Linked DNA regions of Lepisosteus oculatus. The protein of the gene in region 1 purifies or fractionates together with the protein of each later gene. This does not show direct contact. Links are inferred from orthologs where the notes say so. Each region holds a gene or a part of one and is shown in the gene's direction. Other genes may lie near its edges. The genes, in order: ppp6r2a, ppp6c, ankrd52a and ankrd28b.

Evidence for each region.
Region 2: the proteins of ppp6r2a (region 1) and ppp6c purify together in Homo sapiens (affinity purification with mass spectrometry; 9 studies listed by BioGRID and IntAct, counting the BioPlex papers as one, with this or other methods). This does not show direct contact. The link is inferred for Lepisosteus oculatus from reciprocal best matches to the Homo sapiens genes PPP6R2 and PPP6C.
Region 3: the proteins of ppp6r2a (region 1) and ankrd52a purify together in Homo sapiens (affinity purification with mass spectrometry; 3 studies listed by BioGRID and IntAct, counting the BioPlex papers as one, with this or other methods). This does not show direct contact. The link is inferred for Lepisosteus oculatus from reciprocal best matches to the Homo sapiens genes PPP6R2 and ANKRD52.
Region 4: the proteins of ppp6r2a (region 1) and ankrd28b purify together in Homo sapiens (co-immunoprecipitation; 4 studies listed by BioGRID and IntAct, counting the BioPlex papers as one, with this or other methods). This does not show direct contact. The link is inferred for Lepisosteus oculatus from reciprocal best matches to the Homo sapiens genes PPP6R2 and ANKRD28.

What each region holds. Positions count from the first base shown.
Region 1 is NC_090702.1:13,043,863-13,051,684, reverse strand, and holds the start of ppp6r2a (serine/threonine-protein phosphatase 6 regulatory subunit 2a), read left to right. Parts: upstream 1-4,815; coding exon 4,816-5,042; intron 5,043-7,822. UniProt on the Homo sapiens protein: Regulatory subunit of protein phosphatase 6 (PP6). May function as a scaffolding PP6 subunit. Involved in the PP6-mediated dephosphorylation of NFKBIE opposing its degradation in response to TNF-alpha.
Region 2 is NC_090719.1:12,993,170-13,000,619, forward strand, and holds the start of ppp6c (serine/threonine-protein phosphatase 6 catalytic subunit), read left to right. Parts: upstream 1-4,449; 5' UTR 4,450-4,540; intron 4,541-5,565; 5' UTR 5,566-5,589; coding exon 5,590-5,664; intron 5,665-7,450. Other genes in the region: rabepk (rab9 effector protein with kelch motifs), read right to left, coding at 1,495-1,647, 2,186-2,340, 2,875-2,927.
Region 3 is NC_090696.1:15,866,653-15,874,665, reverse strand, and holds the start of ankrd52a (serine/threonine-protein phosphatase 6 regulatory ankyrin repeat subunit C), read left to right. Parts: upstream 1-5,011; 5' UTR 5,012-5,153; coding exon 5,154-5,180; intron 5,181-7,752; coding exon 7,753-7,836; intron 7,837-8,013. Other genes in the region: coq10a (coenzyme Q-binding protein COQ10 homolog A, mitochondrial), read right to left, coding at 3,114-3,241. UniProt on the Homo sapiens protein: Putative regulatory subunit of protein phosphatase 6 (PP6) that may be involved in the recognition of phosphoprotein substrates.
Region 4 is NC_090705.1:28,200,618-28,208,124, forward strand, and holds the start of ankrd28b (serine/threonine-protein phosphatase 6 regulatory ankyrin repeat subunit A), read left to right. Parts: upstream 1-4,507; 5' UTR 4,508-6,138; coding exon 6,139-6,276; intron 6,277-7,181; coding exon 7,182-7,265; intron 7,266-7,507. UniProt on the Homo sapiens protein: Regulatory subunit of protein phosphatase 6 (PP6) that may be involved in the recognition of phosphoprotein substrates. Involved in the PP6-mediated dephosphorylation of NFKBIE opposing its degradation in response to TNF-alpha.

The sequences.
Region 1 (7,822 bases):
AGATAAACTGCTTCTCAACTTGCTGCTTTGTTGCAAAAAGTTATTGCAAGTCTTTTTTTCATTTTCCAATGCAGGCTTCATAATGTAGAAATACATGGCTGATTACTTTAGGTTCTGTAGAGTGCTGCCATTCAGTGCAAGTTTATCTTTCACTAATGATAAATTGTTTGCTCAGTTGAATGCAATCTGAAGTAGTGTGCAGATAGAGTTTTAATTCCCTGACATTAAAGTAAAATCCGTATTTTTGGTGTAGTGAATTTGTATCATACTGTAATTTGCCAAGAGACAGAAACAGCTGTTACAGAAAAGGCAGTGTTCAGATTGTCTCAGTCAACAGTCCTGACATTTAACGTTTTGATGGGTTCACCCATTAGCTTACTGGCATTTTAATCAAAGGTGAAGCACACATATTTGTGATGAATCACATTTCATTAAACACCTTCTCAGAAAGTTGATAAATTTAAAGGTGAATGCATATATGATTAAAAAATGAATAGGAATCAACTATCTGCTGGTACTTTCAGTAAGTCACTAGATGATTCAATTCATTTTCTCTGTTATAAAATTAATACAAAAACAAATTTACATATAATGCTAAAGACTTTTCTCATTTGAATTTTTTGAATATGTTCAGGCAATCTGCTAAGTATTGTTTGCTTTGTAAACTGTTTTCTGCATGCATGAAATCTGTACATAGGGATTTAGGTTTTTGTGTTTCAAATGCATAATTGATTTCAGTTTTCTAATACCTTACTCAAATAAGTCACAGTGTGTTTTGTGGAATTATCGATAAATTGTTAATTATATGGAAAAATATTCACAACGAACCAGGGGCCGTTGAAAATGAAAGAGGTTGTTAAAAGATTGATTTTAACTTAGGCTTTTGATTTATGATTTAACGGTGTGTGACAGGACACATCTGTCTGTTGCCTGGAGGCAGATTTGTTCCATGTTCTAATATTATGTGAATACATTTCTATCATTTCTTGAGTTGGGTTATGCAAAAGGACATAGTTGCACTTTCATATTTCTGTATTTTCATAGTTGTATTTTGAGATGTATTTCTGGTTGTCTTAAGCACTGATGTGTAACCTATTGTTTTGACAGGTTAACAACAATATCTCAGCTGAGGTGGAGCAAAAGGAGAAGTTCCATGCTGGTTAATGAAAGCATTTTTATTATTCTGTGCACTCTGCAATCTGCAAGACAAATGTTCGCCTGCCTGTGGAAGAGGTTTAATTAAGGATACACACATTTTATTGACAGGTATTGTTTTTTATTGTGAAGTGAGGGTATTTAAAGGTTTAATATAGTGCCTTCCATACGTTATGGGACAGTGATGTCAAAAGTGCTGTTTTTGCTGTATACTCAAGAAATTCAGATTTGAGATCAAAAGATGAATAGGGGATAAATTGCAGAATTTCACCTTTTATTTTGGGGTATTTCTGTGCTTACATGTTGTCCCACTTTAGAATAATAACACTTTTTGTATTCAATCCCCTCATTGTAGGTGACCATATTATGACAAATTAATTTAAAGTCAATTAAAGTAGTATAAAACTTCTGGAGGGCACAGCAGAACAGTGCCCTTTTAAACAGTTTAATCCATGTATACAATCTCAGAAACTGCTTCTTCCTATGACCCTGGATTATACCGAGAAGCAATTATTGTAATTAACTTTCCTGTAACCGTTATCTCTCACAAAGGTGTGGAGGAATTTTGGCCCATTCCTTCTTCAGATCCCGTCACGTTTCGATGGGATTAACTTTGACTAGGCCATTGTAAAACACATAATTTCTTCTTGGGCAGCCACTCTTTTGTAGATCTTCTTGTATGTCAATGTTAATTGCACTTTGGGCTAAGCTTTAGGTCACAGTCAGAAGACATGACATTCTCCATTAGAATCTTCTGATGTGGAATTCACAGCTGCCTCAGCAATCCAGTACCTGAGGCAGCAAAGCAGAGTCCCAAACCATCACACCCCCACCACTACCTTTCACTCATCAATCTAGGCATCATTGTTCCAGATGCCTTGTGAATCATATATGTACTCTTTGTTGAACTTCCGATGGGCAGCAATGTTCTTGATGGTGAGCAGTGGTTTTCTCCTTGATATCCTTCCATGAACACCATTCTTGTTCAGTCATTTTCTGATAGTTGAATTGTGAACAGTCATAGTCAGCAGGGTGAAAGTGACCTGTAGTTCCTTCTATGTTACTCTGGGGTTCTTTGTAACTTCCTTGAACATCTTCTGGTTTGTTCTTGGAGAGATTGTGGGTAGAGTGACTGGTCTTAAAAACAATTTCATTTGTAGACTATCTGCCTGTGGATTGGTGGAATCCTAAATCGTTTAGTATGGTTTTCTAAGCCTTTCTGAAATGATGAGCATCAACAACTCTTTTTCTGAGATCCTCAGAGATTTCTTTAAATTGTGGCATAACCTCTCTTAACACCCCTGTCTGGTGAAGGACAAACTCAGTGTTTCAGATAATTATCTAAGGTGGAGCCTTCAATCCCTGAGATCCACCTAATTACTTAAACACCAGTTTCAAATTATCCCCTTAATTGAGCTGATGATGTTCACTTACTTTTTCACATACCTTGTATCTTAATTAGTCATTGCCTGTTTTATTCATACATAACCAATTCCATGTCCCTTGAAAGAAAGTTACTATAAACCCTGTTGGATATTTACATAAAGTGTTTTGGATTCAACAAGGCTATTATGGTAAAATTGAGAAATTTCTGTATTTATCTTTGGGGTTCAAACTTTTTTTTAGCAATGCACACAAGAGAAGGCTCTATTGCTCATAGTGTAGAGCCTGGTTTTTGGCAGAGACCCACAAGATAATGTCTTGTAGTGTATCCAGGTAAAAAGCTTATGATAACCTGGAATTTGACTATTAGTGCCTCATAAATGAACAGGAGAACATTTCCACTCTAAATGTCACTAGGCATTAATGTATTTTGTGGAAGATGGGAGTTAAGTACTGCAGTGTATTCATGTCAAGACATGAACTGCAGAATTCTGGTCAATGTTTAGTTCCCTAAAATGTAATATCAAGGATACCAACATTTAATAATGAAGGCTGAGAAAAGATCTTAAACAGTATTTTGCAGGTGAGGCAAAAATACCCTTGATATGTTCAATTTATTGTCATATGTACATGAGTATAATGAAAAGCTTACTTGCATGTTTTCTTCACATTCCTAACATTAACTTTAAAATATAGCACCAAATTTTCCTACTTTCCTTAAGGGTTTGATTTTAGCACTGTCAATAATACTAAAGTCACTGACTTTTGCAGGGTGATTTTAGGTTAAGTTTATAGACTTCTAGTCTTGAAACCATTTGTTAGGTCCTTGAAAGTTAGTTCAGATCCAGATGTTAGTATTGAACAGACATCTATTAATTACAGAAGCTCCTGCGGTAGTATCTGATTTGGTCTGTAAATTTAAGTTTCTCAGCACAGCAAGTGAAATCAGTGATGGGGAATGATCAGACCAAGAAAAAAATAATGTAAATAATGAAATGGTTAAGTTCCCAATATAGAACCCAGAACACCCCCAAAATGTGAGCCAACACTTTAAAACACTTAAGGTTTTCAAACCGGTTCCAGCTAATTGCAACCTCACTTTTATGGTGTTTTAAACAGCTCATTGCCACAAACGTAAGTATTAAAAATATGCTTATTCAAAGCAGTTTATCACGGTCTTATTTTTTTTTTACTGTAACAAACATCCACAAGTAGCTGTGTGCTAACTCCTACAATAGCTAAAGGTTTGTCATTCATCCAGCTCTGCACACAAAAATGTATTTACCACAGAATTGAGTACGACACCAATTCAAAACTAAAACAAAACCTTCTTTGAAGTGCATTTGGGGTCTTTATAAACTGAATACTTGTAGTTGATTTCAGTCTGCCTTTGTAGTTTAATCTTGAGCTATTGCTGAACTGAAAACTAACTTTCGAGAGAGACATTACAATAATGTTAATTTATACAATTGCCAGATCCAATAGCCTGGGTTTGATTACCCCTGTCTCTGGTTTTGGGAGCCTTCGTTGTTCCATATTCATTTTGGAGTGTAGGGTTATATTTTAACAAACATAGTTGAGCTAAAAGGCTTGTGTCAAATTTAAAAAAATGTCAAATTAAAGTCAATAAACTGTAGGTACTTTTTGCCATTTTCTGTTTTAAACTTCATTTTCAGTTTCGCCTTACCCAGACCCCTACATAATACCATACTCTACTGTTTTCAGACTGAGACAGCACTTGTAATATTGTACCTAAATGATCAGATAGATTCTTAAATATGATTCCTGAAGTCATTTTTTTTCTCAGATACTGTACTGTATATTAAGCTTTTTCATTTTTGAAAGTGATTTTGTTTGAATGAATTGTACAGGTAAATGTCTTCATTCTTCTGCAGTTGCAAATCTGAAACAAAAGCTTTAAAGCTTTTAAGATAGTCATATACATAACACTACTTGTTTTTGCAGTAACCCTAATGTTATCCAGGCAGTATTGTTTAGATTGTTTATTGGCTCAATGCTTTTTTGGTCAGTGTCACCTCACATCGTAAAACAAACTCTCCCAAGGGGTCTAGAGCTCTTGCGTCAGCCCAAATGGGCATTGCATACCAGTGCTTTAGCTCCATTTTTTGTCTCATTAATCGTGATGAAAGCAAAGATCAAAGAATCCTTGTCCCAAAGGCGCATTTACTTAATCCAGGCCTACATCTGGTTTATTACGCCTTAACTGACCTCATCGGTAATCGTCGTATCGTCTTTAGATCTGTGTGCCTGATCACGATGTTCTGGAAGTTCGACCTGCACACCACCTCCCACATTGACAAGCTGCTGGACAAGGAGGATGTGACGCTGCGGGAGCTCATGGACGAAGATGACATCCTGCAGGAGTGTAAGGCCCAGAACCGGCGGCTGCTCCTCTTCCTCAGCCAGGACCACTGCATGGAGGAGCTGGTCACTCTCATCACTCAGGAGCCTCCACAGGACATGGACGAGAAGATCCGCTTCAAGTAAGCCCGCTGACTGCCTCGGTGTGTGTGGGGGTCCGAGGTTGTGGGCCAGGGGTATTGCTAATTTTCCCATTACTCTGATCGGAGGTGATTTGAAGGTATTGTTTTACTTCTTGGTGAATAAAAAAATAACACTTTATCCCTTTTAAGTGAAACATTTTCTTGGAGGCAACCTAAATAATGCAAAATGTGGGATCGGGATTGTTCACTCTTGAGTAATTTTGAGCTGTGCTTAAATTGAATAAATACATCCGATCTTCAGTCGGAGATCTCAAGCATGCAGTGCATGCAAGAAGAACTAAGAATATTTCTGGAGCTAAAAGAGTTCTGCAAAGAAGAGTGGGGTGTGGGTGGGTGGGGGGCTTTGAAAGCAAAAATAGAAAGACTCTTATCTGCCGAAGGGAAATGTTTGGAAGCTGTGATTTCTACCAATGGAGGTGTTACTAAGTATTGACTGACAGAGTCAAACTTTTGCTTGTGCCGTATTTACTGTTTTATTATTTTGATTATCTATGAAACTGTAAATAAATACTAATTGTACATTAAAAATTTGAGGGAAGATGTGATGTTTAGGTTTGTACCACACAGAGGTTGTGTCAGCTTGTTTTCACTTGCAGTTTCAGCTGTGAATCAACAAACAGTTTGCCCAAGGGTTCCTGAACGTTTGAACACAATTGTAGGTACTCATAAAAGGAGTTCAGAAATGCCCTCAGTGACTTCTTTAAACCAAGTTTAAAGAACACTCCCTCCTTGACTATAAAGATGTAATTGTTTTATATGTCCATAACACACGACATCCTTCCATAAAAATGTATCCCTTGCTGCCAACATGCGAACATATTGTATTATTGAAAGCCACTTATTTTTTGTTTTAACTCTTTTTTTTACCTTATTTTATAGCATGATTTCTGACAAACTGCATTTCAAACATATTGTGATCTCTTTACTATTGGTTGGCACAGTGAGTGATATCTACCAGTGGAAAATTAATATTCAGCACATAGTCTTTAGCTCAGTCTCCTGTCACCTTGTGATTTTTTTTCTCGTTTCATCCAAGCAGAAAGATGATCAAGATGCTTGGGTATTCCTGTCCCCTTTTCTAAAATGCTCTGTGATTCAGATTCATGTGTATGTTTTGATAGCTTGGTTGTGTTCCTATGGCAACAATGCTTGACTATAAAAATAAAAATAGAACCACAGCTGCTGTTCCTCAAACCATGATGGCTCAAAAGGAAATGCACCTTACCTGTCTCTGTATCTTCAGAAAACAAATGTTTGAAAGTCCAAATGTTCTTTTGGTGTGCAGTGGCCCCAGGGGTCCTGTGCCATGTCACTAGCCTTTTGACCTGCAGTTGTATTCACAACTCCCTGGTATTCTGTTTGCCTCAGTGTTGATGTTGATGGGTTCTTTTTGCAGCTTAAAGCTGCTTTGTATCATGCAAGTAGTCTTATTTTGTTAAAACCATACGAGAAAGCAAAATTAAGCACTTCCCTTCTGGTGAAAATATGTGATGGAAGTTGCTATTTCAAAGTGATTCTGCATGAATGCAATCAATAATTTGCAGTTTGTCATAGCTTTGAATTGTTGGTTGATTACCTAAAGAAAATGCTCTCCTTATTTTTTGTACATTATACATGTACATATATGTATTTTTTCAAATGATGTAGCTGTTAAGCATATCAGTGGAATATAACTGGGGAAAAAACTATTAGCCTACACTCACATCTGAAGTTTTTCAACTTAATGAAATTATTAGAGTATATGCGTTCCAAAGAAAGCATCATGGAAAGATGTTTTTTTTAAGATTGTTACCTAAACAGCCTGCTTCCTTCTTGTTACTGATACAGTTCTTTCACAGCAGTTCTTTTGCGTAATCTATGAGGTCAGCAGCACACAATTCTCCAGTCCATCTCAAAGTTCTATGACATCATTGTAATTCAGATTACCATGCTTCTGATTCCAAGGTGTTAATCAGTGTGAAATTAGACATGGTTTGGTCGCTTGCAATTAATTTATTTCTGTCCAGATTATGCCACATGAACACTGAAATGATTAAAAAATAAAATAACATGGACCATGTTGACGTAGTTTGGAAAGAGACCCTCTTGGGGTTTTTTTAAGTGCATTTTCCTTTTTTGAGCTGAGAACAGTTATGCAGTTACTGAGGAAGCAAATTCCATTTTTGAAGACGTTTATTTATTTGCAATTAGACTTCAGCCCTTGATGACGCAAAGTGTTTGTTTAATATTTGGTTTCTGAATGATTGCTTTAAACCATGATCCAAAATGACTGTAAAATGAAATTTCTAACAGTGGTTTGGACATTCTCTTCATGCAGTTTTTTTTAAATCCTTTGAAATGAATACAGTTTGCCAGTAGTCTTGTGTCTATTTGATTGTAATGGTTTTCTGTTACTTGAATGATACAGAGAACGAAAGAGATCTTAATTTTCTATAATATTATATAAAATAACAGTGGGAATGCTTCACTTAAATGCGGTAAAAAAACACATAACTTCTGCATAAGTGCTACACAACATGATTTAACAACATATATAATTATTTTGCAAACATTTGTGCAAAAGACATTACAGGCACATTTTGGTATCAGTTAATGAAGAAACATGGTTTCACTTGAAAGCTAAAACCTCAGATCAGAATGATCGAACTATTAAGGACTTGGGAGCAGATAGTGTACAGTTCAGCAACAGTGGTCCTGGTATGTTAACGTGAACTTTTATTTTTCTATATATGTTTATCGGTGGTGTTTTATGTTCAATA
Region 2 (7,450 bases), on another chromosome or scaffold:
AACAGGCGTTCAAACACCTAGCTGATCGCCCTGTGGTTTCTCCTGGATTCTCCAGGCTCCGTCTGGACTTTCATCAGGACAAGTCCCTCCAACAGCACAAGCTCAGGCTGTCGAGTGGAAAACGCGCTCTGTACGTTACCGCTGTTCTGCCCCTCTTGCATCTGAATATATAGGTAAATACAGCTGAAAAATTGACTTTAACACAAAAGATGCGACCGGTTTTCTAAAAAAAAGTCCTTTATCTATTCATGTCCTTGACTGCCTTGTGCACAACCTCCAACGTGGAGGACCTGGCGTCCGAGGTGGGACACAAACCCACTACCCTGGGATTATGAGTCTCATGCTCTACCAGCAGAGCTAGTCAGGGGGCCCAGCCATTAGTATGCAGAGGGAATAATAATCAAGTTATTAAGAACTCATTAATAATCAAGAATAGGGTGTGTGAGGCACTAAAACTAAGAACAGAATGAACAAGAAGGTTTTGGGTTTGATGGGCGCTTATATCGAGCAGTCAAGGACATGAACAGCGGTAACGTACAGAGCGCGTTTTCCACTCGACAGCCTGAGCTTGTGCTGTTGGAGGGACTCGAAGTCTAACCTGGACTGTGAACACTGACTCTATCATGAAGAAGGCTCAGCAGCGCCTTTATTTCTTGAGGTGCCTCAAGCGATGGGGGATGCCAACACATGTGTTGGTGAACTTCTACCGCTGCACTATCGAGAGCGTCCTCACCAACGGGATCACCGTGTGGTATGGCAACACCTCTTCGCGAGAAAGAAAGGCACTGCAGAGAATGGTCAATATGGCCCAGAAGATCATCGGCAGCGGTCTCACCGAGATTAAACAGCTCTATGAGGACCGCTGCCGTGGTAGAATTCTGGCCATCACAGAGGACAGTCACCACCCAGGGCATGAGCTCTTCACCCCACTGCCCTCAGGCAAGAGATATAAGAGCATATGGACACTTACCACTAGATTCTTCAATAGCTTCTATCCACAAGCAGTGAGACTGGCGAACACATTTAGCCATCCCCCTCGGACCACACCTACACCATCACCATCTACCTCATTGTAATTTATTAATTGTACGTCTCCAGTCATTGTTTACACGTCTGTATTGTTTACATTCAAACTGTCTGCATGTTTACTTGCACATTGTCTATTGTTTGTTTGTACATTGTCTTGATGCACTGTTTGCACTTTGTTTTGTTTTTTACACTTGTTTTATAATCGAGAGACTTTCTGTAAGTAAGAATTCCATTGTACCAGTACCGGTTACATATGGCAATAAAGTTCAAGTTCAAGTTCAAGTTCAAGGCTAACAGCCCTGTCCTGTAAACGACTAATGTTACGGAAACAACAACAGGGTGTTGCTGCCTCTACGTGCAAACATCCACACTAATCGCTATAACTGCAGTAATAATGCAGCTACTTAACTGTCAGAGAGAATTGAACTGGAGCTGTTCCCAGGCTTGGTACCAAAGTGCTTTTACCCATCTGTAACTCTTGCACGCAGCTACGGTTGCCATTCTGCTCCGCCCCTCCAAACACCCAGAGGCTGCCAGGTCTGCTCTGGGGGACGAAGCTGCAGTGCTCGTATCTGGGCAGCAAGCCCTCCCAGGCCGGCACGTCCCACTCGTGGGCATCTGTCCCACGGATGAATTGAAAAATGAAATGTCAACGTCTTCAGATTGTCTCCTGTCGCTGGGGAAGCTCTGCTTTGTTTTTTTTCTGCACAATCATGCCATTTAAAAAGATTATGAGAACCGCTTTCCTATCAAGGGCCACAAAGCGACCTTTCAGTTTCCGTTCACCGAGCGCTATAAAACAGGACACGCACGGAAACTGTGTGCATAAACACTGCACCTCGAAGTCAGCCTAGGAGTTGCTGTATGGTGCAATAGCAAACTAGCGCCTCAGTTATTCGTTTTACAAGCCAGCATCTGTAATCCATGAAAAGAAAGGGATAATACCGGCAAAGGTATGCCTTGGGCTTAATCAAGTCTTTATTTCTTACAGTGACTGACTGGGACACAGATATTTAAACCCCCCACCCTAGAACCCTAAGCTAGATTCATTGAGATCTCTTGATATCTAGACCAAGCTCAAAACATGCAGTGTCTATAGCATAGAACTGCCGCCTTTCAAATGTCCCCTAACCAGGTTTCAGGATGAGAATCCTACCCAGATCGATGATGTAGGAATCTGAAAAGCTTCCATTGGGATTGGCTCCTCCAACAATGAGAATCTTCCCTTTGTGTCCATCTTTCCCGGGAATGTAGGTGCAGGTGTGGCCAACCCTCTCGCCCGGCCCCTCCCCTGCGGGCACCAGTGCATACCTAGACCCAGAGACACAACATGCGACACCGCCATCGTCACAAGGAGCTGCTTTCTCATTACAAACACACAGGTTGGCGAAACCCTGCTTCAGAGCTTTGCCAGGTATGAGCTCAGTAGAGACAATTCCTTGAAATGTAAAAAAAAAAAAGTCAGGATTATGTTTTAGCTGTTGGATTCTCCGGACTGCTTAAACCGAAAATAGAGGCTGTACAGTTTCAGACAGATGTAATATTCATAAACTATAGGAATCTGATTATATACCACCATGTGGATTTTCATTTTCATTAACCAACGAAATGTTACCTAATAATCTGTAGCAGATTATTATCCTTATCCTTACTGAATAACAATAAAAAATAATCTGACTTGACTTCTTACTGGAAACAGTATATACTCGTTGTGTTTTACCTGCAAACGAGCTCAGAGTTCAGTATGCTTTTGTTTGAATACCTACCAGCGGATTTTATGCACTGACACAACGTCATTTACCATAAACCCTAGAATCTCCGAGACCAGGTAAGGTTGTGACTGACCAGGTTGATTCTTGTGGCTTGTCTTCAGGCTCCAGTACTTGAAGTAGCTCCATTAATCTGGAAACACGGTGCTAGCTCTTCACGCAAAGGAAATCGCACAAGCAGCCCACCTAAACATGCAGAAGGCACGTGTATCAGCCTAAAGCATGTGTTGGTTTCAAACTTCATTCAAGGTACTTAAATCTCCGTGCACAATTCATAAGGTTTCATTTAACGAGTGATGGAGTATTGAACTGAAATAACTTTTTTTTTTAAATGATACTACTTATATCTGTAAGATAGACACCTCACCGTCACAAAGAGGTTTCGGCTAAATTCAATCCGCACTGACGTTTAATGTCACACGTCCGTCCTCCTCGATTTCTTTAAACTCCAAGTATAGAGGTATAGTTATCGGCATACGCTGAAACATTTTGATAAAGTACATCATGCCATGCACACAGCAGATCCGTTGTGTGCCTGATTATAATGTACAACAGCAAACCTACCATCCTCCGTCTAAATCGCGTTGTTAACACTGAAGCGTCTGCGGAAATATCTGGCTGCAAGCTGTAAGTCTATCCGTTCCGGACATGCTAACACGAAGTAAAACGGTCAAGCCTAACAAACCACCCGCACTTCCATCCGATTTAAATTTTGTCACATATAAATTACGTCTATAGCATCATCAACACTTACGCCGCAGTTCCAGGCGCTGTTGCCACCACACGCCGTGCACTTTCACCTTTGCCCTTTGCACTCCCATGCAGAGCCAATGGGATGAGACATTCAGGAAACCATGGATACGCCAACAAGCTTCTTTAGAGTGACGTCGACGTACTGGAGGTGGTTATGTATGTATGGCCATCTTAAATTTTTTCACATGCATCTGTCATTTTTTTCCCCTAATCGCAAAATAGGCAAGAACCTAAAAATCTACAATAAAAAAAAGTAGTCAACACTCAACACAACAGGCGTGGCGTTGCGGTGCCGAGCGCCAGTGATTCATCACAGCTCATAAAACCCCATGAAAGGGCAGGAGGCAGAGAAAGGGAGGTAAAGGCCTCCCGCTGCCGGACAGCACGGCGAACTGCAGCTGCCCCCTTCGGCCCTGGGACGTCCTGCGGAGGAGGCCGGCGGCGGTGACCTTCATCGTGGACCAAGCAGGAGAAACCGTCAAACCGAGGCGTCTCCGCCGCTTGTGAAGAGTTTTGTTTCTGTGTTTTCGTTCTAACTTAATGCCACGTTTACGTGACGTAATAAAGTCTCATTATGACCCTCGCTTGTGGTATCAGTTTAAATATTTTTATTGCATTGCACCACCGGGTAACAACAGCAAATACCTTTCTCACATAGTTGGGCGCTTACTGTAATTATACGATTTCCGCGTCAAAAATGAGCTTACAAATCGTCATTCTGTGAAGCAAGATGGTTTTGTTGTTTTTCCATCAACAATAGCATAATCTGGGACATTCGATGAAATTTGAACAGCCCAGCTGCAATAAAAAACAGAAGAAACCCATGCTCTAGGAAACAATTAATTTACCCCCGTTGGTGTATGCGGCCTCTTGTGTTTTTGTCATCTTGCCTATGACAAAATGGAACAGTTCACAATTGGAAAGGGATGTTGAAGAAAAAGGAATATTATCTTGGAGATGTGGTGTGGTCTGTGGTTGGTCTGAACTAGGTAAAGTCACATTTATAGCACAACAACAATTTTTTACATCCTCAAAACTAGGTGGAATGTGATAAATAGACCCACGGGTAATAGGAAATTGTCGTTCTTCATTATTGTTCTGCTTTCTTGTAATCCTATTGCTGTTTTTATATCACTTCCTCCTTGCAAATTGACACAGAGCTGTGCACTGCTAGACAGGAAAAAGTCTCATTCCTGACACAAAAATAAATTGTGCCTCTCCAAAAGTAGTTCAAATCTGTTCTACAGACCCCCAGCTAACAGTATATAACCATGGTTTTGCCAGATGAGCGTCCTTTGCCAATGTTGCTGGAGTTTATAGGGGTCTTTTAGTGGCCGATACTAGATTTTTCTTGAAGGGCATTGTTAACACTTCACCGGTGGATCATCCTTTCTGGTTTTAAATAAAGCGTCAATTTCACAGGTGTTCTGTATCAAAACACTGCGGATTTTCTCTTCAATCAGATCAGCTTTCATTATTTTGAGTGTAGAACTACTCAGACAGCATTCAAATGCTGCTTCAGCTTTCTGGCCTATCATCCTGTGGACACATACATTCTGCACAGCACAGGGGGAAGGAAAAACCTCATTTAACTGCAAGAAAACCTCCAGGAGTCCAGGGCTTGGGAGTCCAATTTTGGATCATAGCTGTTCCGTGAGAAATTCTCTAATATTAGATTCTATGTCAAAATATACCTGGTTCGGTACCTACGGGCATTTTTGGAAATCTGAATAGCTTTAGATCCCAGAAGGGTCTTGAAAGTCTTGTGTATTGTTACAGGTAAGGCTGTCTGTTTGTCTGAACTGTTGCAAGAGGGAAGCTGCCTCAGGGCACAGGGTGAGAAGCTACACCAAGCGACACGAATGAGCCGGAAGCGTATATAAATAGCCGAATTTCAATCAGAATTACTGCAGATTACCGCACCCGGCTGCTGCTAAATCAGATGGAGAAAAATGACTGCAAGTGTCTGGCCAAAACACAGCGGAAGTGACGTTTTACCTCTTCCCTTTCGCAGGCTGTAACAGTTGTTGTTCCTAAAATGGCGCCGCTGGATCTAGATAAGTATGTGGAGATCGCAAGACAGTGCAAATACCTCCCAGAAAACGACTTAAAGGTGAGAGGATAACTATTTTGTCGGGAGCTGAATTACGCTAATATTGCACCGCTTTTAAATCGAGCTTGGACTTTTGTACATGGGGGGCATTATAGATGAGGATAGGATATAGGGTATGCCTGATAGCTAACAGTTATTCCCTTCCACCGTAGAGGAATCAAAACTAAATCTTTACACATGCTTTTCACTGCAGAAATGTGTGTCTGAGGATAAATGGGTAAAACAGTCATGCGGAAGGGAAGCCGGGCACAGACCGGAAGAAGACAGGGCAAAAAAACACAGTAACGAGGAATTGCCGAAACATGCTGAGAAAAACACGGCGCGTATTTGTCCATTAACAAATGACTAGGTAAAAAAAATCATGGTTTAGTCTCGAACGTACAATTCTGTTCAGGTCCCGAAAGGAGAGTAGTACATAGTGCACGGTATTGCAAAATGTTCCTGGATAGACTATTGAACTGCACTGTCAGGTGTATGGACAGCCAACGAGTTTCCTAGTCCTTATGTTGGAAAATATGACATTGTTTCTTTAAGTGACGCTTATCAATAATTATCAAATAGTTCTGAATTTAAAACCTATTAAATCTGCATTAAAAATGTTTACTCCGCTACTGTTTGAAGCCACGAAATAACTTAATAGTACAAGACTGAAGTTTTGTTAACCATGTACTTGAGTTCCTTTTCACCTCCTAGTGTCAGGGTTAAAAAAACAGTTAAAAACATAGATGTAGTCCACCACCCGGTTCTTGTCACACTGTGACAACTCCAATTTTGTAAGAATAGTAAAAAAAAAAATCTTAATTTCTTCATTCACATTCAAATTGAATGTGGATTAATACTTTAGTTAGATTAGATATGTTAAAACAATAGTTGAAACTTTTGGATACCTAGATTTCAACTAGATATTCTCAGAGAAACAGCAGAGGAGCCCAAGAAACTGTGGGTTGTGAATTGGCTGTTTTAAAAGATTATATGTTGTAATTAATAGCAAATTTTAGCCTAATATTGTATATGAATTTGATGTTGTGCCTGAACAGGGGTTCTCTTGTGAGAAACCCTGCTTGAAAGCAACTCTCTCCTCCCAGAAAGCCAGAATGTGCTGTCTTTAAACAGAACGTTCATTTTTGACTGCCTCGGTCAGGGCCAGGAATGTTAAAAGGGCGTGGGTTTCTATAATGTTAGCTGATGATATTCCTTTAGTAATTTGTAAGTGTGCTTTTTACTCTTTATCATCGGCAGTTCCATCAGATACCGAATGTTTACAAAGAGTGTTGTAAAATACCACAGGAGAGAATTTGTTCAGGCTTCAAAGAGACGTCTATGATACTGTGTTAAACTTCCAGCTTTACGTTTTTTAGGACTACTTTTAGAAACATTTTAATGAGGTTAATTTATGATGTCTAGATCACTTTCACGGTTTCATGAGTATTTTTTTTCCCATAAAACCTTTCATGCCAAAACATTTCCAAAACGCTTTCGGAGAGTAATTTGCTGTGCCTAATTTTTCAAATTGTACTTTTGTTTAAAAAAAAAAATTAGAACCTTCTTGTAAATGCTTGAGGTTGAAAGCGTTTTGCAGTGGTTTGAAAGGAGTTTGCCCATTAGAGAAGACCCTGTTCATGCAGTGAACTGATAGTGGGGTGGGTCTGTGTTTTCCTTTTTTAATGCAAGACAGCACAGTAAAAGTGATAGTAAAAGCAATGATGATTAAAATTGTAGCAAAATGGTAAAATGGGCAGTTAAGTCATCCAGATGTCCAGGTTTAATGCGGTTTCCTTTTCTTCCC
Region 3 (8,013 bases), on another chromosome or scaffold:
TCATGGGACCGGGGGAGGAAGCAGGGAGGGAGAATTTAGAGCCTCCACGTGTCTGGGAGGAAACGGAAGCGCACACAGGGAGAAAATACAAACTCCACACCCCCTTTTTCCGGGGCCTGAATCGAACCCAGGACCCCTGGACCCGTAAGGCAGCAGCGCCAACCGCCCCCCTCGGCCTGCCATCGGTCCGGGATCCCGATAGGATTCTCTCATTCCCTGAGCAGCCAGCGTTGCCGTCTGCTCATCAGAGAGCCCAGCGAGCGCTCGCTGCCTCCGTCCTGACCTTTCACCTCCCTGCCACTCGGGCCCACCGATTCCGGTTATCTCAGGCCTCACGTCACGTCAGTACAAAAACCCAACCGTCTGCCCATTCTCACATGTGAAAAATAATATAGGGAAAAAAGCATTGAGTTAGGATGCTTCTCTACCTCGTGTAATTAAGGCTTAAAACCTATTGCACTTTAGGGTATAAATGATGCAGAACTCTTCACAGCAGACACTATGGGGAAGCTAGTGAAGGCTATTTTATTGTGCAACAAGGTCAATGGATGAAGGGCAGAAATGTTTCATGTTAAAGCTAATGGCCAGTAACACCCTGTTCTCACAACAGTGATGAGGAGCCACACTGGTACCACAGTATCCAGCCAACTCACGCCACCATTTGCCCCACTGGGCTGGAAAGCACAGGCAAAGCTAACTCTGCCCTGGGGATATCCACGTTCGGGGGGGCTTTGGCCTCCTTGAGTTCCCGCCAGTCACGGTGTGGACGACAGCTCCTCTTTCAGCCCGTCTCTCGGGAGGTTCTGGTTCTGGGGGCCAGCCCCGAGCCGGGCGGGCCGGGCCTGAGCCTGACTGGCGCGAGCAGGTTCGCCCACGCCCGCGGAGCTGCGCTGTCTGTTTGTCTAAAAGCTGAGCTGCACTGCAAGCCTCCCGCTCCCTGGCTTAAGGGAGAGCTCCGCCTGCGGTGAGCAAACACTGGAAAAACAAACCAGACACGATGACACGCCGGCGGCCCCCCAGCAGCCCCGGGTGACAGCGTGCGGCACCCAGCTCCTGCGGCGCCCCCTTCCTGCCACCCTGCCACCCTGCTGCAGGCACCTTATTCACAGAGCACCCCCGAGGGTGCCAAGTCCGCACCCCCCCCCCCAAAAACACACAACAGCGCAGCGATCTCGCCGAGCGGCACCGCCAGGCGGAGAGTCTCTTCAGGCGGCGTACACACTGGGGTCTGGTGCTCAGCACAAGGACAAGAAAGCCGGAACATTCGACCTCCATATTGCCGACTTGAGTTTCACCGGGTAGACGGCACACGACAAAACCCCGCTGATAACAGGAAAATGCCCATGTGGACAATCGCACAACAGTGCCAGAAGCAGCTGCAAATAAAAAAAAAACCTGTGAGGGATTTAGATCTCCTGTGAGTGTGGGCCGATGTTATTTTACTGTATGAGTCAACAGCGGGGAATTGTTTTGGTTTTTTTTTTTTACTTTGTTTTCTGTGCAGAATCGGAAAAAAAAGAAAGTTCTGCTGTTTTCAGTTAAGGAGAAAGGCTTTTTTTCCCCCACATTCACGTGAATAAGAAACAGATGAAGCCGCTTCCAAAAAGAACACACCCACTGAAAAACACTGTAAAGACTCCTGCTTTCTGACTACACAGACAACAAGGGAGGCACAATCCGAGGACTCGGGCCTGTAGTGTATGGAATTCTAGATCTGAGATCTCAGTCTTGCCCTGAGCGGTGCCACAGTAATCTTAAGCCCCAAGGCTGCACTGGCATAGCTCAGGTGAAAAGCCACACTGTGAAGTGAAAAGGACTATATCTGAGCACACACAACATCTCCCACCCTAATTCCATGAAGGCCATGCATTGGCCAGGGGGAGGGATCTACAGGCTTGGGTGGCTGGTGACCCCTTCCGGGGTCAGAGTTCACAGGGGGGTACAGGTCTTACAGGAGACCCCCCCGCCCCCGCGCACTGCTCCCCCTACAGCTGCTGGGAATGGGAGGCATGTGACACACTGTCAGACAAGGTCTAACGTCAAGGTCTCCTGAAGCCTCTGTCTGTCTGCACCAACACTAACTCGCTGCACCAGTCTGGAAGGTCACCCTCTGCCGGTCTGGCCTGAAGCCCTGCCAGCCACCCGACACAGGAGCCACTGTTCAGATGCAAACCCTACAAGAGTTTTCCCCTCTCCTCAGACTAGCGATTTGACATCCTTGACTTGGGCCTGTTTTCTTTAGGTGGCTGGAGGAAGCTTAATGGGAAGGATTCAGCATTTGCAGCATCAATAGGTTGTTTGGTCCATCCACCCACAACCCTTCGTGTAAAGAACTCCCCCCCGTTGTTGAACGACTTGTTTACATGGGTTGTGTTCTCCCTTTACACTGATGTGCCTTTCACAACGAGGAGACTGGAGCCTCATTCTGCTAGTCCCGATCTGAAGTACTGGACCGACCTTCACTCGGGTCCCCGTCAAAACTCTGAGTGAAACAAGACGTCCACACGGCCACGCGCCGCGGGACGGCAGCAGTCCTCCGCGCTGTGTCACGGTTTCAGTGCCGAAAACACGCCAAGGCGCTACGACCGGTTTCCCCCGCTCAGCACGGAAGACTAAACCCTTGGAAACAACACTGCGGGCTGGGCACCACGTTTTGGCAAAAGAGATCAAACGCGGTGTAGTGGAGCCGACATAACAGCGTGTTTTCTTTTTCTCCCCAAAATGTTCTTCTCAAGCGTTTCTCGGGCGTATGGGCTGCCTGCAAACGCCAGAAGGGATGAGACGAGAGGCCCTGGTGTAACATTTCCAGCCGCACTGCGCCGGGCTGAACTGACAGGGTGGCCTGTGGATATTTAGACCGGTTCCTCCCAGTAACCCCTTCGGAATCTGACTCAAAGTTAGAAGGGGGACCAAGTTCTGCTCCCGAGAAAACCCCCCCGACATACTCACGCCAGAGACCTGGACGCCGGCCGGGTCGGGGTCAGACCATACGGACCTGCTCCAGGTCTACAAGCACCCGCGCGGTATCTGCGCTTTGTCTCGGACGCGGACCCACGCGCCCCTCTCTCATTGACGCCGTTTGTTTTGCTCGTGGCAGCGGGGCTCTCTCTCACCTGATTGGCTGTTTTCCTCGGGCACGGGACCCCACTCGGCTGGCGGACCGGCTCGTGCCCAGGGTGGCGATCTCGAGGAGCTCGCTGAACGTCCGCACGCCCATGGGCAGCCGCCGCGCGACGGCCATGGCCAGGTCCCTGAAACGGGGGTGGATGTTTCCTTTCTCCTCAGATGCCCCCCTTCCCCGAAAGAGCCCCGTCGACGGCAGGAAGCAGCCCTCCGCAGTCCAGGAGGCTCCTTTCTTCTCTCCCGGGACGGTCCCTCGGGTTTACTATTTTTCCGGAGCAGCTAATACTACAAACTATACGATATCACGAAGCCAGGACACGATCGATTAACCCAACATTTAAAAATAGCGGCTGTTGCTTTCCAAAATAGGTGACCTTCATGTAGTACCCAAAAATCAAGTTGCTGTCAGCGATTTGTTGTCATTTTTGTGACTGCTTCTTCCTTTTTTTCTCTGTTTTGTACGTCCGTCGTCCTCTTCGCCAAATCCCGACCTTCCGCCAGATACCGGCTCAGTCGCCTCTCACTGTCACTGGAGGTTACGTCATACAGTTGCTAGGCCAACCCCCTGGAATGGGTGTTGCGTAAAACCGAGAGCGTGACAACGTCCGGTTGGGAGGGCGAGAATAAAGCCTTCTGGGATGGGTAGTTTTCTGAACCTTCCCGAGCCGCGATCGAATTGCTTATCTTGGGGGAAAAAAATATTTTTTTTAAGTTTAAATACACCAAGTACAGAACAGTATCATGAAACATTTCATGGGATTATTTAAAATATTTCAACTGCAGGATATTCTAAATTGTTTTTTGTAAAGTTATATAAAATATTATTAATATGGATAATAGTATATATAAAGAATCGTGCATATTCGTCGTTTGCAGTAAAAAAAAAGCTGAATATCGATAAATCAGAGCTCATTATTGTCTCTTAGGTCTGCCGCCCAAGGTTTATTCACACATAAGAGCTGATGAATGTGGCTGCTTGCACCAGCTGCCTCGATATGGGCTTTATTGGCTCAGTCTTCCTCACAGACCCAGACCAGCCTGCACACGCAGCGCAGCTCGGCGCTTAGTTCTGTCACACTAATCCGGGGTGCAAGGACGCCTTCAAAACCAAACCCTGCAACCTGTCTTGTAGGTTTGGACAAGGTTCTTGGCTCCTGCTGCGTCACCGAGAGATTAAACGGGGCTGGGATGTGGCGACTGGGGAGATGATGAGAGAGAGTCACGCCCTGCTTGTCCTCGGTACTTTCGCATTGTGAATCCGGGATCCCGGCATAAACGAAAGCGCTTTCCTGGGCACAAGACCGCTCAGTTTCGATTTTATTCGGAACTGTGCACACGTGACGCACTGTCCGTGGGACAGGGGTGCAGTCGGGATCCGTCAACAGGCTTTTCTTCCTGCGCCGCTGAACGCGAAGCGGAGATTAATTCCGCTGAAACGTAGAAACCCAAACCCCCCTCCCTGTTCGCGACGTAGTTATCTTCTGTCTGCGTTCCGGCGTGGGAATCAGCCTCTAAATTGTCCCCCCGTTCAAACTATCGGTCCTCATTGTTTCTTCCAGGCGGGTCTCCCGGCTCCCCTTTCAGAAGGCCGCCTAAGGAAAATCTGGGATCGTGTGACCCGGCCTGTTTGTGTATTGCGAGTAAGGGCTATAATTAGCCGCAGCAGCAGAGTGAAGTCCCCCTAGCGCTCCCTCCTTCATTACAGGCGGCGTAATTAATTACTCCCACGCAGCGCAGCCTGGGTCTCGTTTCCGAGCACCTCGGAGCCGGCGGTTGCCTTAGCGGCCGCTGCTCGGTCCCGCCAGGGGGTGGCGCTGTCGCTCGCCGCCGCTCCTGTAGGCGGTGTCCCCCCCCCCCAGCCTCCCTCCTCCTCCTCCTCCCCCTCCCTTCCAGTCTACCAGCAATAAACAACAGCGAGCGCACTGATACCGAGCGACCCTGTTCCTCAGTAATAATCATAATAAAACTACCGCCAGTTACCTCTCCAGCCCATCCTGATGAAGGAGCTTCGCCCTGATTGAGTCCGGGAGATGGGAATACTCAACATAACTGACCAGGTGAGGGACCCGCGACGAGCGGAGGGGAGAAACGCGGTGGAAATAACGATCGGGGTTTTTTTTTCCGCTTCTTTTCCGGAGGGCGGGCGGCTGAGACCTCGGCCCGGGCTGACTAGGAAAGGCCGGCGGCTGTAGGCCCCTCGACGTCCTTTTTCGCGTCACATTTTCCCCCCCCTCAAATCTCCTCGTATTTAAAACTCCCCCCGGGCAGGGCAGGACTGGGTCGCAGTCGCGGGTGGTGTTAGATCTGGATTTTCTCTTAACGACCGTTTCTTTGTGTGACTTTTGTGCGCTGTCTCAATCGTGTAGTTTTTTTTTTCCAATTGCAGCTGCGGCCGAGGGATGAGGGACGCGCACTCCCGTCTCCGGGTTGTAATGTCAGACACAGAAGGGGGTTTTTCCGCCGCTTTCGGTTCCCGGAAATATTTAGCTCTTTTCCATGCTTAAAAAAAAAAATTCTGCAACTATGAAAATGCATCTTTTTCTACGATTGTCCGGAAATCTAAAGCGCTGTACCTAGACAACGTCGTTTTTATGTGTGTTTGCATGGTGAGGCGGAACGTTTTTGGCTAGTGATGCTGCCGAGGCTAGCTGAACGCAGGTCTTTTTTTTTTTGTAATTTTGACACAACCTTTTTCCAGACGCTTGCACATTTAGAGGAAAGACATTTGGCAAAAGCGATTCCGTTGCAATTGGTCTAAGCGGTAAACTGAGGGCTGGCGGCCCACCCATTAATCTGTAGGGTCGCGGCTCACCTGCCTATCTTAAAATAAAAGCGAAAGAATATTAATGGGTGAATTGTCCCCCCCCCCGCCGTCGTTGGGAAGGGAGACGGGGAGGTTGCCAAGAAACGCGGGAGTGTGTGTTTGAAGATGTCCGAGCACCTGAAGGTGCCTGCGCCTGGCCGGGGTGTTGAGCTCAACACTGCGCGTCTCCGGTCAGCGCCCAAAGCCCCATCCGTGAGCCGAAACAAGGCGCCCTGGCAGATGAATCGTTTTATAAATACAATATTACCGATCTTTTAAAACGTTTTGTGGTGCAGTGGGCATGAAACTAATGAGCCACACATTTTATACTGTCCATGGTGTGGATTTTGACCCTGGTCTGAGTGTGACGTGTGTGTATATATGCGTCGTTGTTTTTGCTGCTCCCATGACGTCGCTGTTAAGGCCGTTCCAGGTTTTGCCTGGAGCAATGACGAGGCACTGGGAAGCAGAGAAGGCGAATGTGTAAATATGTCGTCTTAACTTTGCCTGTTATGCTTCCAGCGCCCCGTGTGCGAACCCCGTGGTTCAGAACATTAAATCTCGAGCCAGACCCGACACCTCTGCCCAGAGAGTATTGCTAGAACCTCTTGTGATATGATCTGTGTGGTGCAAAAATACGGCAGTGTTAGGGATTGTGTCCACACAGTGGACATCCCTGGAGTGCTTTGCCTGGCCTAGAAGCCGTTTGACAGTTAGGGCTGTAGGGCTTTCAAGGGGTGACGGGAAGGTCTTCACTGCGGAGCTCCTGAAGCCAGGCAGGGCCTGAGGGATGCGAGTGTTGAAGATGTGGGCAGGTCTCGCTGTGCTCTGGGTCCCTGCTCCGTCTTTCGAAACCCTGCGTTCTGTTCACCCTTCAAAGATCAATTTGGCCCTCTTAACCAGTATGGGGGGGGTAATGAAGACAGTTGGCTTTTTCCTTAAAGTGAATGAAGGAGCAGATCTTCCTCTGAAGGCCTGTGAGCCGCGTGTGAGCACCTGAGGGAGGTACTCTGTGTCCTTCTAGCTCGGATCCTGTGATCTCTGCTAGATCGTGCGGTGAACCTGTGACCTAACAATCCTGCGATTTATTTATTTGCACCCTGCCAAAGGCGGATGGGGAACCTCCATTCTCTGCTGGGCTTTGCTTTACAGGACAACAGCCCTGTATTTCCATGTTTTCGCTCTGTGTATTATGGCGAAGGTGTAGGAGACGCCTCCTTCTCTTTCCATTGTTAGCATCCTGACTCCCCCCCCCCCCCAATAAGCAGATGAGATCTGCCTTTCCAGGAAAACCCTTTGAGGGAAAAGAAGATGAAGCCAGTCGAGTCGCAGTGCGCGCAGTCCTGAATAGTGCTCAAGTCGTGATCCGTGTTTGTTTTTTTTTTAAGTTACGCCGGCTTCCCTCTACCCCTCTTTACGCAGAGGGTGGCGGGAGTCTGGAGCAAGCCACCCAGTCATGTTGTGGCAGCTGGTAAACTGGCTTCTTTCAAGAAATGGATGGGTCAGATCGTGGCATCCATTACAATGTCTTCCTGCCGAGCAGGCGGTGTAACCTTTCTCCTGTTCTTGAACTACAAACCCAAATTGCAGAACGGCGCGTGCGAGGAAATGCCTTTATCAAACGGCATCGGATGGATGTATAGAATTGTATGAACGTGAGGAGTCCAGGTGTTCCTCGCCCGAAACAGTGGCTATTGTTCGTACCCCAGCTGCTGTGCTCTCCCTAGGACAGTGACCAGCCATGCTGTCTGCCGAGAGGATGAGAGGGTGTTTAAGTGCTTGTGTGTTATTTCTAAACTCTGAAAGAGTCTTGTTTTGTCTTGCAGCCCCCCCTGGTCCAGGCTATATTTAACCGGAATGCAGAAGAAGTTCAATTGTTGTTGCACAAGAAGGAAGATGTCAATGCACTGGTGAGAACTGCGGTCTTTTTCTTGACACGTTCTTCGCGGGTGGAGTCCATAATTATTAACAAATGGTTCTCTTGTGATGGCTCGTGGGCGATTGGGCCTGGCTTTGGTTGGTGTGCCTTGCTGTGCACATTCGATAGATCACTTTGTGATGTCTCTTTTGTGCGGCGTTCTACAAAT
Region 4 (7,507 bases), on another chromosome or scaffold:
TCAAGGTTCATTCTTTACTGAGCATTGAGCAGTGTTTTAAAAGTGGTTTTACAGATTTAAAGTTTTATTCATATTTAAAGGAAACCAAAGTGAAGAAAAATGTTTCATGTAACAGTTTAAGTTTGAAAAGAATAAAATATGCTCTAGCAGTTAATGAGCTGGAATCCATACTTAGTCATATGTTCTTGTGGTTGGAAAAGCCCAAGGCTATGTGAGTCACCAACCTTTTTTTAAAATAAAAAAATGCCTTCGAAGACTCCACCCTAGAAGTCTGAAGTTTTATTTAAAAATATATATTTATGTCAAATATGACTCAGTTTTCCAGTGGCATTTGTCGTTAAGCCAGATGTTCTTTGTGGGAGGCCTTTTTCAATTTGAACAGTAGGCCTCTCCAGTAGAACTTCATGTGTATTCAGTGTTGAATAGAGGTGCACGGTAAAACCTGCATTCCGGCATTTAGACGCTCTGTAATTTCCGGCAATTTCCATCAGTGGTTTTATTTTTTCAATTTTAACAAAGATTTTCCACTGTTTACATTCATAAAATCAAATTTGATTATAAAAACAAAATGACTGTGATAATGTTGTTAACTTTAAAAGGGTGAGTAAAAAAGTCATACTAAAGGTATTTCCTGCATATCATTGGCTATAAAGTTTAGAAATATGATGGGAATTTGGAAATCACGCGGAAATAACCGTAGCTGATTGGTTCAGAACGACCTTGACTTTCATCTTTATGGGCATTCCCAATCAAACAAAATTGCGGTATGAGATAGTCAATAACACAAGGGCCAAATCTGATGTTTGGGAAGATTTTGGGCTTAACAAATGTAAATCGGATTCAAGAATTGAGGAAGGTAATCTTTAATGATTGACAAAATTCTGCATGTTGCTTAATTGTTCTGTTTCACTGTTCAGTGTTATTTCTAGTTCTTTCATTCCAATAAAACAACAAAACAACATAATTTTCATTACCTTATTTTGTATACAACTCAGTATGCTTAACTAATCATAAAATGAGAGGGTCTCCATATATAAAATACAAAATAGTTAACAGTATGCAGCGATGTTTTCCACAGGCGGTACCCAACCCTAATGTTGAATGGTGCTCATTCTATATACAAGTACTAATTTCATCTGAAGAGTGTATAAGTAATTTGAAGGAATTTACTTTGGAAATACTTGGTACTTGGCAAATTCTGGGGTCTAGCAAGGAGGAGGGTGATTAAGTACAATAAGTGCTATTATAGTAAAGTATTTTTTTACTGGCTGTTTGAAAATGAACAGTTAGTGGCTGATATTTGTTCCTGTGAGCCACTTATGTATTTTGATTTTCTTATTTTTTTATGGATGTTAATTTGCATGTGTTCAGTTGGAGTTACCAACTGATAACTGGAGTAACCAACCTGAGATCACTGTATCTTTTTTAACATTGTGTATGTGCTACAAATTGGTATTTGTCACCATAAATAGCATTATTATTTTATTAGTATATAGAACTTGAACCTGTATCTGCTAATTGATATGATTTTATGTTAAGGCTGTAGTTTAGTTTACACTAAATTGAATGATTTCCAGAAAATGTATTCCAGAGCGTTGTGTTAAAAAGAGTTTGAATTTAGTTTATATGTCATTACTTCAATTTTAGCATTAGGCAGTATTTTAGTTGTATTCAGAATAAATAATTCGGCTTTGTCTTCTTCTGCCTTTTTATTTATACATTGAAGTGATCCGGATTCTTCATGATTTCTGTCATTCTTTAGGCAGCAGTAGGAAAGTAGTGGTTGGGGCTTTGGTATTTGGACTGCCGAGATGCAAGTTCATACTCCTTACGTGTATGGCGCACTGCTAATGTACTGTTGAGCAGGGTACTGCATTCGGATTGCTTTAGTTTGCCCAATGTAAATGGGTCTTTAGTACACGAGAATTTGTAATTGTGGTCTAAATCTAAAGAGAGAAACAGTGGCCATCTGCAACTTTTAGTATCAGAGAGTTGCATATTTCTATGTCTTCTATATCACAAATCTAAGAATTCTGTGCATTTGCAACTGTTCCTGAACTTGAGTGTTTTCTGATTTGTTTGCATTCAGTTTACAGTTGAGACGAGGTCTGTGTTTAGCTTGTTTGATTGGAGTGAAGTTCTTATTTTGTAGGTAGATGGCAGCCCTATTTTGAATTGTATCAAGACCTTTGCCAAACTTCAAAAAAGAAAAATCAGTTTAAGCCTTTATCTTACAAGCCTTAGCATGTAATGATATTTACATATTAAAGATTTTATAAACAATTATTGCTTATTTTTATAAAGTAATGTTTTAGCCTCCTTTGTTCCAAAAATGCAATATTTTAGCACTTTTGTGCATTATGTATGACTTGGGTGTCTTTTTTAGAAAAGTGTTTTTGTCTTCTTAATTTCAAATATTAAAGCGTTCAATGGACTGCAATAGTACCCATGTTGCTGATTTTAAGACCAGCTCCACTGACATAGTGATCATTTTGTTTGGAGAAACTATACCATACTGCAGAACTACCATGCATGTCTAAAACAGGACACTTGTAACCAGTAAAGGAAAGACGGAGGGTGGTGCCTTGTTGTTTCAATAATATGGAATCTGCATTGTTGCCAACTCTGAATGAGACGCACTGAAATTCCTTTGCCTCCGCATGACTCTTAGTTACTAACATGCCAAAGTCTTCCTGTAAATGCTTGAACTGCTTTGTGTTGTTCATTATTAATTGTCGTATACATAATTTATTGTTTGAATTTCTTGATTGTACAGTTTATTTTGTAGTTGTTCTGTTGTATTTTTACTACAGTGCAAAATGACCCATTTGAAAGCCCTTTTGGGATTTCTTTCTGGAAATTATACTTTTAATTTTAATTTTTTTTTCTTTTTCCACAAAATATGGGAGCTTTATTATTGTTACTGGTGAGAGTCTTGGCAGCTTTTTTGATTAAACAAATCGTATATGGCTTCATATAGTTTTTGCAAAAAATATTCACTGAATATATCTGCCCTTTTCCATTCTTAACCAGCACCACATTTCTATTAGTCTGGTAAAAACCTGTTTGATGGTAACAATACAGGCAGTGTGACGCTTGAAATGAAATACCTCAATAAAGAGAAGATAAGTCAGTGAAGAAAACAAAAAAAGCAAGGCAGTGTGATCAAAGGTGTATTGTTAACCTGTGTAGAAATGATTTAACATTCATTAAATGTATTTGCATTTTGGATGTAAGATAAATAGTGCCGAAAGGTCATATTTGACTTTTAGTACCTAACCTCGGACATTCTTGGAGGTGTAAAGTAGCAAGCCATAGTTTAGCTTCTGTGCGTGTTTACTGCACCTACTGTCCTTCAAAGGTCTCATCTCAGAGTCATGGGCTCTAGTCTTTCGTAATAAGCATGACAGGGTGCATTACTTTGGGTTGTTGCTATTTTTAAAGTGATCTAATTGCCTTTGCAGTTTTTTATTTAGGATTTCTCCGTTCCACTTTAGTCTTTTATAGATTAACATTCGGCATTTTATACATTTTATTTTCAGAATTATTTCATTTTGCAAATACTTTGTAAATCATGTTGCCTGTTTTGTTGCCAAAAGGAGGTAAGGTGACTCAAATATTAAACGGGGAATCTAACCTTTTTTTCTTTTATTGGAATATAATCACCATTGTAAGATTTTCCTTTGTTACTTTAAAATATTTTCATAGGATAAGGGAAATTGCCATGTTTTCTAGTGCATGTATTTTAAGGTGTTTAATTATTCAAAATTATAAATATCGGCACCATGAACAACTTGGTTTGTGGTTTGTACTTTATTACATTATTTGGTATTGTTATTTATCTCAGATTTGTATTGTTTTATGTTTGTTTTGTATTTTTATTATACAGATTGCTCAAAAATGCCTTTCAGTCTGTTTTGCTGGCATTTAAACTTTGATGCTCTGAGAACAGTAGTACTGTAAAAGTGAAGGACTTATTTTATAGCTAATAATATGTATCTTTACCCTGTCATTTAAAATAAAAAAATGATTCTTTACAGTTGTTTGAGTATGTACTGGCAAAAGGAAGGTGATAAACATTTTTAAAGCAATGTTCAATGTTGTATTGGATTAAACAATTAAGAATTGATTACATTTGATTTGTTAGTGCTCAATGTAATGACATGGAGGCTTTAAAAAAGTTTTCATTGTAAATGAAGGCAGAAGGGGCTGTAGTGAGACATTTTAAAACAATAAGCTCTACTCTACTTTTGCAGATTATAAAGAGTTAAGACTGTGTGGTAAGGCTGAAATGCTTTAACATGCTGGTTCATATGAAAGCAGTTAAAACTGCCTGCTGGAGAGAGTCACTCTCCTATAAAGAGGGAGACTAGAGAACCACTTGCCATCGATGCCTGATTGTTTCCAGTTTCCACTGGAAAAAATATGTATTGAAGCCTAGCCATTTTTCATTTGCATAGTCCTATTGGACGAGCTGATTAGTCACTCCTCTAGCAGACTGTGCGTCTGGGAAATCCGCCTACAAGGGAACATAGCTCTAAAGAGAAAGGCAGTGAGAAGCTACTGAAAGATCTTTTGATCCTGGTCTGGATGGAATTATAGCACTGTGATGTTACTAGGTGGTTCATCAAGGCGAAAAGAGAGTGTGGTTGTGCTGTATTGCTGAAGATAGTGATTTCTCTTCTGCAGAGCTGCTGTTTTTTTTCCCACTGTTAAATTCACATTTTAAAGGCTCCGAGCTTCTGAAAGTGGAGGATTGTAATACTAAAGAGGACTGCTTCTTGCAAAAGTAGTGTTTTTGAACAGTGCTAAAGAATATTAAAACAAATGCTCGAGGAACTGAACTAGGCTGTAACATTTTACTGGATTTCTTAAGAAGTGAAGCAGAAGATAATAACCTCCCTTTTTATTGCTTCGTATCAAAGCAGGCATTGAAGTGATAAAGGGCTTCTGCTGGAAGTGCTCAGTGGTAATTATTCCAGCTTTCACACACAACAGTTCATTCACTACTGCAAGTGGAGCATACTAAACTAGCACTGCACCTCCCCCTCTTATTCGACAGGAAACTGCAGTGAATTCTGCATCTTCAGGACTAAGGGGACACTTGGGCATAAGCACAGAAATCTCAGTGCCTATGAGAATATCCTGTGTTTGCTGTTTAATTATGTGCTTCCTAGCACTGTAGATGGATTCCCACTGGAGCACATGGACTGACTCATCGGACTTTATGGAAATATATTTCAGTTACCCAGTAGCAGATCTGCTGTACACCCACCGTGCTCAGCGGCAAAACAGCACATAAGCATCTTGTTTTGTGTCAGCTAACTGAAAGAGGGAAGCATGCACAAGCAGGAAGGTGCGGGATAATCTGTACGGATAATCAAGTGAGACTTGTAAACCTCTGTGAGCAGCTTGGAACAATCTGACCTGAGGACTACAATGGGGAAATGGCACTGACCTTGTCTACAGCCTGACTTTTTTTTGTTTGGCTTTCTGTGCGATTTTTGCTGCTTCAGATCTCTCTTTATGTCTTGGTAACATGGCTTGCTGCTTTCACAGCTGTTTACAGACTGCCGTCCTGTCACCCACAACAATTATCACTCTGTGCGGATGAACAACCACTCCGGAGAAGGCAGCCTGATCAGCAGTGTCACTATCCCTGCTCTTGTACGACTGGTTGCACTCAGAGTTAAAGAATATTCTCATGTATGCAAAGGATCAGATGAGCTTAGCATTGTTTTAATGTGCCTGACTAGCTTGTAAACAGGAAGAGTATTGTCAGCGCAGTTGCTGGATGCAGATGTGAGTCATATTGCTACTTTCAGCAGCGTTCTGAATGAATGGGGAGTTCGGTGGCTTTGAATATTGGCTTAAAATAATCAAAGTAAATGATCCATAACTAGAACCGTCTATGTGCAGGTTCTGCTCCTTTGGGTTTCAAATGTAAAATGTGAATTTTTCTCCTTCTTGATTAATATAATGAGCATCTGATTGAAGCGTGCTTTAATTATGAAACTTGTAGTGTGGACTTCTGTGCTTCCCTGTTCTCTGTCCTAAAACAGCGTTTGTTGGGCAGCTGTGTATCTTACTTTGTTGCGGGAGCAGTGCATTGGAAACTTTGGAATATTATAGAAGTGAATGAAAGCAGATCGGATGAGCCGAGTGTGCATTGTTGTTTTAGAGGAGGAGGAAGATGATCCCTCCACTTTTGTTTCGAAAGTTTCTCAGGAACATTATCCCCTGCCTGCATCTAACTCAAATGCTCAAGATAGAAAGGTGAGAGATGTAACTTTTATAAAATGTGTTCTGTCTTACTAGCTCTTTAAAGAAAATGAAGTTTTGGAAAGAAACAGTTCAGTAGTTACAGTGCCTTTGTGGCACTTTCTCAGAGGCTGGAGGGATTGTGTTTTTGTCTTAGTCTTGTAAATAAGACCATTACATTAAAGTATTTACAGCATTTAATGTGTTACTCTGCTGCGTCTAGTAATGTGACTGTAAAAATTTTTAACACTGTCTTAGTTATAGAACTCAAAAAAATATTATGATTAGAAATTTGATGTTCATAAGAGTACAACGAGTCTTGTCTAAATTGAAATTTAAGGTAACATTGGTCAGCTTTTTTCAGGGGTGCGTGCTGGGCAAATCCTTGTTTTTTATTACATGCAAAATATACAGTGATATGCAGAGATAATTTTCACTCAAAGATCAAAAAGAGTTAAGACATAATGCAACGTTTCAGACGTTGAACATTTTTAGGTGTCTTTTTTTACTTTCTAGTGTGGAATTAACTTCTACTTTTTCCTTTGCAGCTCACGCACGAACATAGCTTCCTGTTGTAAACCGAAATTGTAGTTGATAATTTGTGCATTTTTGACTATGAAAAAAAAATAATTCTGGTAATTTTCTACAGAAGATCTGTTGGAAATTTGGACAATTCCTATCGAAAAACAGACATTTGAAACAAATGGCGTTGGCATTGTCCAATTTTTGAACTGCTCATTTTATACTGGGAGGAGTCCATTTTCCTGGAAATGATTAACTCCTACTTTTATACTGAATAGAGTATTTGATGCCAGCTACAACAAACTGATGCGTAAGCGATCCCATGGCACATGGTAGTCCTAACATGTAATCCTGTCAACGGGATATTAATATATTTATTCCTCTCTCCTCTGTTTCAGCCACCACTGCTGAAAGCTATATTTAATGTGGATCCAGATGAAGTTCGCTCCCTCATATTTAAGAAGGAAGATGTAAATGTACAGGTAACATGTCTTGTGTAACAGAAGATGATTTTCTGTAATGTGAAATTTCAGCTGCAAAATAACTTCAAATTAAAAAGTAGTTTGCTTGGTTAAGTGTTTCCAAATAATACATTAACATTTATCTTTGGCATTGCTCACAAATGCCATCTTAATGAATATTTTTGGGCATTATAAGTATTAGGATCATTTTGACTTGAATCTTGTGTGAATATGCATTTAAAAATGTTTTTCATATGACATAT